2 linked regions of the Cricetulus griseus genome follow. The protein of the gene in region 2 interacts with the protein of the main gene of each other region in a biochemical or structural test. Links are inferred from orthologs where the notes say so. Each region holds a gene or a part of one and is shown on either strand. Other genes may lie near its edges.

What was found.
Region 1: the proteins of Ston2 (region 2) and Syt1 form a complex in vitro, tested with the Homo sapiens proteins (2 studies listed by BioGRID). The link is inferred for Cricetulus griseus from reciprocal best matches to the Homo sapiens genes STON2 and SYT1.

Annotation. Positions count from the first base shown.
Region 1 is NW_023276806.1:146,547,808-146,551,731, reverse strand, and holds the start of Syt1 (synaptotagmin-1), read right to left. Parts: upstream 2,524-3,924; coding exon 2,358-2,523; intron 1-2,357. UniProt on the Homo sapiens protein: Calcium sensor that participates in triggering neurotransmitter release at the synapse. May have a regulatory role in the membrane interactions during trafficking of synaptic vesicles at the active zone of the synapse.
Region 2 is NC_048598.1:113,267,910-113,271,733, forward strand, and holds part of Ston2 (stonin-2), read left to right. Parts: intron 1-1,573; coding exon 1,574-1,776; intron 1,777-3,824. UniProt on the Homo sapiens protein: Adapter protein involved in endocytic machinery. Involved in the synaptic vesicle recycling. May facilitate clathrin-coated vesicle uncoating.

The sequences.
Region 1 (3,924 bases), on a different chromosome or scaffold from region 2:
CACGAGGCAGGAAATGTGTCTCACTGTTTCTTCCACTGTTTTCTCTGCTTTAGTATGACACATTTCTCTTACGGCAACTATTTGGATAAAATATTCGTTAAGCCAGGGTTTATAGCACTTTCAATTTTGTATCAGTCCATTAGCTGAGCAGTAGAGCAAAAAAAAAAAAAAAAAAAAAAAAAGACCTGAGATCTTGGCTTTCTGACTGAAGGGCTGGAGCTACTGGACCATCTCTCCATGTCCAGCTCTTCCCTTATGGGGCTTCCTGTGGAGAATGGCCATCACCAACAACCCTGCTAGAGCATGCTTCAGAGGAACTTGAATTTGTGAATGGTATGGACAAAGCAACACATTTAAAATCTTTGAGGCATGAGAATATATTACAGATACATTTTTATAAATGTTATCTTCCATCTGGAATATTCCAATAGCTTATCTTCTCTTCTTAAAAGACACATTACTTCATTGGGCGCATCCAAGTTATCCTCAGATCCCTATAAAATATTGTGTCTTCTGCTACACAGATTCACTTCTGCTGGTCTTGTTAGGGAATACTACTGAACCAATTTTAAGGGACCAGCATCACTGGTATGACAGCCAGGGAGCGTATAATAAAAGAAATAAAAAGAAAAACCAAAACCAACCAACTAACCCCCCAGACAAACAATCAAAAAAAAAAAAAAAACACCACCACCACCAACAAAACCCACAAAACAAAACCCAAAACCAAGTCCAAAGCAACCAATCAAACAAAAAACCCACAATAAACCACTATATGCCAATCAATACTCCTGGCCATAGGAACTGTGTTCAGGGCTTCTCCTGAACAACCGAGTTAAGTAGCATGTAAAAAAGACTAATCACCATGATGGTTTGGGATTAATTTCGGGGAGGCAAGGATAGTTCAATCTTTGTAATTGATTAAATATGATTGATCACATTAATAGGATAAAGCATAAAGCTATATGGTCATTTCAAAAGAAAAATAATTAAAAAACAATCAAATATTCTTTCAGGATAAGAAATGGTCAACCAATTAGGTATAGAAGAATTATACTTCAATATGATAATGAGCACACAAGACAGCCTCAGAGTTAATACTTAAAAATATCCCCTTTAAAATGTAGAAAGCCAGGACATCCTTACACTCTCATGTGGCTTAGTATGGCAGGTCTTAACCAGAATAATAGGGCAAGAAAAACAAATGAAAGCCATTCAAAGTGGGCAGGAAGAAAGATTTTCCTTGTATGCACATGACATGATCATATAGGGAGACCTAAAAATGCCATTACAGAACTTTTAGAAGTAATTAATGAACTCAGTAAAGCTAAATGAATACAACATTAATATCCAAAGATCAGCAATATTTATATGAACTATCTCAAAGATAAGCCAAGAAAACCATCTCATTTACAATACTAAGAATATACTCCATAGTAACCTTCATTTTTATTTTAGTTATTATTACTACTGTGCTTGTGAACATATTGTGTGTGTACATGCTCACATGTGCCACAGAGCACATGTGGAGGTCAAAGGACCTGGGGCTAGGATGTTGATGAACAAGTCAGTGAGATGGTCAAAGGATGCATACTTTGATTTGGATGGGAAAGTAAGTTCAAGAGATTTAGTGCACAACATGGGTTGTAGTCATCTTGAGTTAGATTAAGACCAATGAATGTTGGATGTTTTCAGAAAAAATGGTTCCATGTGAGGCAGTGCACATATGCTAGGAAGACTTAGTCAATTCATAGTATTTATTCAAATTACTGTATTATACACAGTAAACATATTTGTAAATATGCAAATAAAATTTTGAAAACTAAATGCTACTGATTAGATTTGTGCAATGTTTACTTTAATTAAAGCTTATCTATAGGCTTTGTGTTCCTCACTCACAAATGAAAAATTAAAAGTAGGCAAAAGTGTTTGGAATATTGACAAATTAATGAAAGAAAAACAAGTTTAAAAATATTAATGAAGCAAAGAAAATCAAACTTGTAATAGTGGAAATGTATCAGCTCTTGTAATCTTTCCTACATAACAATTCCATCGATACAAATCTAAACTCCATATGACACAACATACAGACATTATTATCTCAGAGAGACAGAAAATGAAGGACCTACCTTAAATACAACACACAAAATTTTGTTATAAACCATGCTATTATTTATAAAACACAGTTAAAGAAAAAAAACATATTCCATTTCCAAAATCACTTCATTTCTCATTGGAGTGCTACCGTATGACACCACCATGAAGAACAAACAGCGCATTGAGTCCTGCTGATGTTCCACTGATTCTAATGATTGTTCAATCTTTTCTGTTTATTCAAGTGAAAACAGGATACTCACATGGAATTTTATGCAGCTCATTCATAAACTTCTCCTTCAGCTTTGAAAAGGCATCTTCCTTTCCTTCCCCAGGACTGGCTGGCTCGGTGGCATTATGTGGGATAACAGTTGCAGCAGTGGTGACTGGCGGGGCAGCCAGGCGCTCGTGATGGCTCTCACTCACCATTTTTGCTTCAGGTGAAACTAACGGGGGAAGAAAGAGAAAGCAAACTCAGAAGGGCATGCCTGACCCCATATAACAGGTGTACCCGAGACGAACACACACTACTTGCACCACACCTGCTCACTGGGTAGAAGCCTGTCATTAGCATATTACTTTATGTTGGCTCATGAAATATTTACAGAACCACAGTGAGTGGAGAGCTCCTTCCGGGAAGGCTAAGATCAAATGTAGTTACTGAATAGCATTCTCTCCCAACAAAGTCTATGTAAGCTGTCAAACTGATTAGCTATGTATACAAGCCCCATTTTGCGGTGTAAATCTAACTTTAATGATATCTTCCCAAAGTGTGCAGGGAACAACTGTTGACAACAGCCACGTTCTACACTCTTAGCATCTTGTACTATACTAAAAGAAAAAATACAAATCATGGATAATAGTGCTGGCAATGTTGCTAAGTGATTGCATACATTCAAAATGTTAGTGACTTTTAAAGTAACTATATGTAATAGCATAACACTGAAAGCTTAGGACACCATAAACATTATACAGCAAATGTCTTGAGTCTGATATCAAGGATAAGTCCCCCCCCCATCATTTTTTGACCTTTACTGTAGGTGACACTCTAATCAATAATTTACTTGTTCTGCTAGGTGTATATTTAGATCACTGTAAATGTGGCATAATTGACTCCATATATCAAATACTGATAAAGAAACAGGGTTTGTCTGCTTAATTATTTAAATTCACCTAGCTTCAATATCTTACTGAATTATTTTATCAAATTCACTCAATCATTTTAAATGCTTCTTTAGCTTTGAAGTAGAAAATCTAATTAATTCTAAGGTTGTAAAAGAAAACATTTTGGCTTTGAATTGTGAAGACAGTAACTGTGGTCTTACTCTCCAGCTAGGTGAATTTAAAAAGACATCTGCCCTCTCAATTCTACCCTTACAAAGTGGGAAGAAATAAGCCTTGCTTTCTGTCTTACTCAGGGTGACTATTTCTATGATGAAACCATGACTAGAAGCAATCTAGGGAGGAAAGGGTTTATTTGGCTTACACTTGCACGTCACTGTTCATCATCAAAGGAAGTCAGGACAGGAACTCAAACAGGGCAGGGACCCAGAGGCAGGAAGCATTGAAGAGGCCATAAAGGAGTGCTGCTTACTGTTTTTATCCTCAGGGTTTGCTCAGCCTGCTTTCCTATAGAACCCAGGACTTCCAACCCAGAGGTGTCCCCCAGTCACAAAGAGCTAAACCCTCTCACATCAATCACTAATAGAAATTGTCCCATAGCTGGATCTTATGGAGGCATTTTCTTAATTGAGGTACCCTCCTTTCAGATGACTCTGGCTTGTGTTAAGTTGACATAAAAACTAGCCAGGACACTTGACCCCTTATTAA
Region 2 (3,824 bases):
GCCCGGAGCAATAAAGAAAATTGGAGTTGTTTACTTGGAGAAGCACAATCAGTCAGAGCCATGTCACGCTGTTCATCTGTCGCCGCTTGCTGCTCTCCATCCCCACGCTCTTGTCCCACAATCTGGCCTCCATGTCTGGGAACCATGAACTTATGACTCAGACAAAGGAGTGACATCCCACAGTCATAAACAGTTCTGCCAATTTCTAGCTGTGATCTGCGACAGCTTATTTTGCCTCCAGAAACCTCAGTGACATTAAGGCAGTGGTTCTCAACCTTCCTACCGAGGCAACCATTTAATTTAATACAATTCCTCATGTTGTGGCGCACCCCCCACCCCCAACAACCATAAAATTACTTTATTCCTACTTCAAAACTGTACTGTTATAAATTGTAATGTAAATATCTGAGGTGTAGGATATCTGATGGGAACAGAGTCTGTGTGGACCGTCCAGCGGCACAGGACATCCAGTCATCTCTCACTGTGTCTGATGAAGGACGGTGATGCTCGAATGTCATAGTCGTAGAACTAAAGTCTCTTTTCCCCCTCAGATCTAACTCATCAAGTGAAAAGCAGATCCTAATTTTACCTGTGAAGATCAGTTGACCCGTAGATAGAGTTACCCTCCATAGTACCTCACTGCTATTTAAGTCTGTATTTTTTGTATGACCCACCTGTTCATACCCCCTCCTAACCACTCCACTTTCCAGATGGGGAATTCAGGGCAGAAGAGAACAAAGGCCTTTCCACTTCCAGGAGAACTGCAAGTCAACTGAGGCATTACGACTACACTGTGACTACAGATCAGATCGTCTGTCCGTTGCACTGTGTTCCCCGATTTCATGCGTGCTTCTCTAAGTCTGTCACTTTCATATGTCACCCACCCACAGAAACACGCCTGAGGCATCTCTGAGAATATAAAATGCTATTAAGAAAATTCATCTTGTAAAGGAAAGCAGTTTGCTCCAGGTGGCTGTCACTGATGTCTTATTAGGTGTCAAGTGCTAATCTCATCTCTTCACTCATAAGCGCCTCTTCCTTAGTGTAGTGTCCCTGCTGTGTCATCATTGTTCTTTGACCGAAACAGGCATAAAGGCCCCAGTTTCTCAGACTGTGGGGTTTTGGTTTTTGTTTACAAATGATGTTCAGTCACTTTGATATTTATTTATTTATTTTGTGTGTGTTGGTGTTTTGCCTGCATGGATGTCTGGGTGAGGGTGTCATATCCCCTGGAACTGGAATTACATACAGTTTTGAACTGCCGTGTGGGTACTGAGAATTGAACCCGGGGCCTCTTAACCGCCGAGCCGTCTTTCTAGCCTGTCTCCAACTGTGGCTATTATGCTAGTATTCTAGGCTGCAGTAATCAAGAGGCATCAGATCCGAGAGTCTGAGGCACACAGAGCCTGATGTCTGCCTACGGAAGCTCTCTTGCTCAGTATCAGACCCTCCAAAAGTGCCAGGTGCACAGCCTGCAGACCGCCAGTATTATCAAAGTGGCTCTTTGGCTTCTTTTCCTTTTTAATTTCATCCTCGAAGACATTGACCTCTGGATTCTTTCTTTCTGTTATAGCTTCTGGTCACCCACACTGTTTCTTTTGCCACCTTGAACTTGGCTCTGACCGGGAAGTGCCTTCCAGATTTGCCAATTACGTAAACGTCGAGTTCAGCATGCCCACGACTTCTGCCTCCAAAGCAGCTGTGAGATCCATCTCCGTGGAAGACAAGCCTGGTGTGAGGAAGTGGGTCAATTATTCTGCACACTACAGCTACAAGGTAGCCTCAGGGGGCTCCGGGCTGATGTTTCCGAGTCCATTTGTTCATTCCATCCCTCCCCCTTCTTCCTTTAGCAAACGCTTCTCATATCAAGGAACTTTCCATTAATAGCCATGGATGAATCAGCTCTGACTTTAATGAAATAATCTCTCCTGGATAAGAGAAAGGTTTGGAAAGAAAGAATTAAGGGGCTGGTGACAGAGAAGAATATAATGTCTAACATCATGAGTAATATCAAAAAGAGCCGTGGGGCCAAGTAATAATTGTTACTCATATGTGGCATGCATAATCCGTGTTTTGGAGTGAACTTGGAAATGCAGGGGAGTATTGGGAATGTGATAAGCTGAAGTGAGTATTTCATCTACAGGAATCGTACATCAGAACACAGCAGAGGCGGGCACAGGGCAGTAAGAGTAAGGCTTAAAAGCCAAACCCTTTCACAGTGACAATGGGATGAGATGTCTTCAATCAATGCTGGAGAGCTGGTTTTCTTGGGGAAGGGAAGGGGGGACGTTGCAGACAGGGTCTCCCTCTGTAGCTCAGTCTGGTTCAAGTTCTGCTTTCCTGCCTCTGAGCACTCAGATGATAGGTAAATCGCTGTAAAAACAAGGACTTTTAGCACTTGTAGACTTCGGTAGAAGATCGACTTCCAAAGAGGGGAGAGAGAGAGTCATTAGGATTTTGCAAAGTTGTTTGATAATTTCCTATGTATAATGATTCCTGCAGATTTATGTAACGTATTATTCCTTTAAATATTTTCTTAGTTGTGTCATCTAAAACCTTTTAACTACCAAAAGTTACAAATTCCCCCATCTTGTGGCCAGGGAAAAACCTAGCACTCCCCACCTCACCCCATGTGGAGAAGCCTAATCTTCAATGCACGGCTGAGGACCAACTGGGATGATGAATTCCTTAGTTCAAACAGTCCCTTCCTGACTTATCAGAGGTTTTATTTACGGCGAGCTACTCTTTAAAAAGATTTGATTATTTATTTGTTCATTTATTTGATGTATGGGGGTGTTTTGTCTGCATGCATGTCTGTGTACCACATGTTTGCAGTGCCTGAGGAGGCCCTGGGACTGGAGTCACAGACACTGGTCAGCCACTGTGTAGGTGCTGAGAAGAGAGCCCAGGCCCTCCGGAAGAGTATCCAGTATTAACCACTGAGCTGTCTCTCTACCCAAGGCCTGTGACTTTCAAAGGGCAACTTCTTAATAGTATTTTGCAGAAGACGGGCTAGACTAGTAAATGCTCTGATACTTACTAGCTTAGAGATTTAAAAGAAATGAAGTAGTTGGAGGAGCTTAAGTGGTCAATTACAAAAGGCTTTCTTTATTCATTCCATAAACTCGGCAGTTGCCTACTGGATTTCTACACCATTGGGCAAAATGAACTAGATCTTGCTGCTATCCCATGGAGCCTATGGAATAGTGGAGCCAGGGACACCAGAACTATTCAGAGGAAACCCAGTCTCCCTACTGAGGAGCAAAGATAATATCTGAGCAATTCTGAAAGAATAAGAGTTCCCTGGGACAAGTGCACAAGCAATGATGTGCAGAGCATAGCAACTTCCCTGGGAGTTGTGGTCCTAGGGACTATGGGCCATAACAACCAGTTGACCAATCAACACAGGGCAAGTCCTCCAAGCCTGGAGGCACACCAATCCTGAGCCTGTGCGTATGTCTAGACACTCCCCTTATGCTGTCCTATAAGATCTTTGTCCCGGGGTTTCTCGGGGTCTTTTCCCAGCCATCCGCCATAATGGATGGATGAAAGGCCCGAGCTAATGGGGTTAGTTCGTTAAACAACTGCAATAAAGCCTCTTGCTGTTTGCTTAAAGTTAATTAATTAATTAATTAATTAATTAAGGAGTTCCCTAGGACCACAAAGAAGAGGGAATTCCACACCTTAAAGGGGATCATGGTATACTCAGGACTAGTGGTTCCATTATGGCAGCAGCCCAGAACAGCCACAAAATTCCAGGCAATCCCAGGAACCTTCTGAGGCCCTTTTGGCTCATTTGTTTTTGTGCTTTTCCTCTGCCTCTT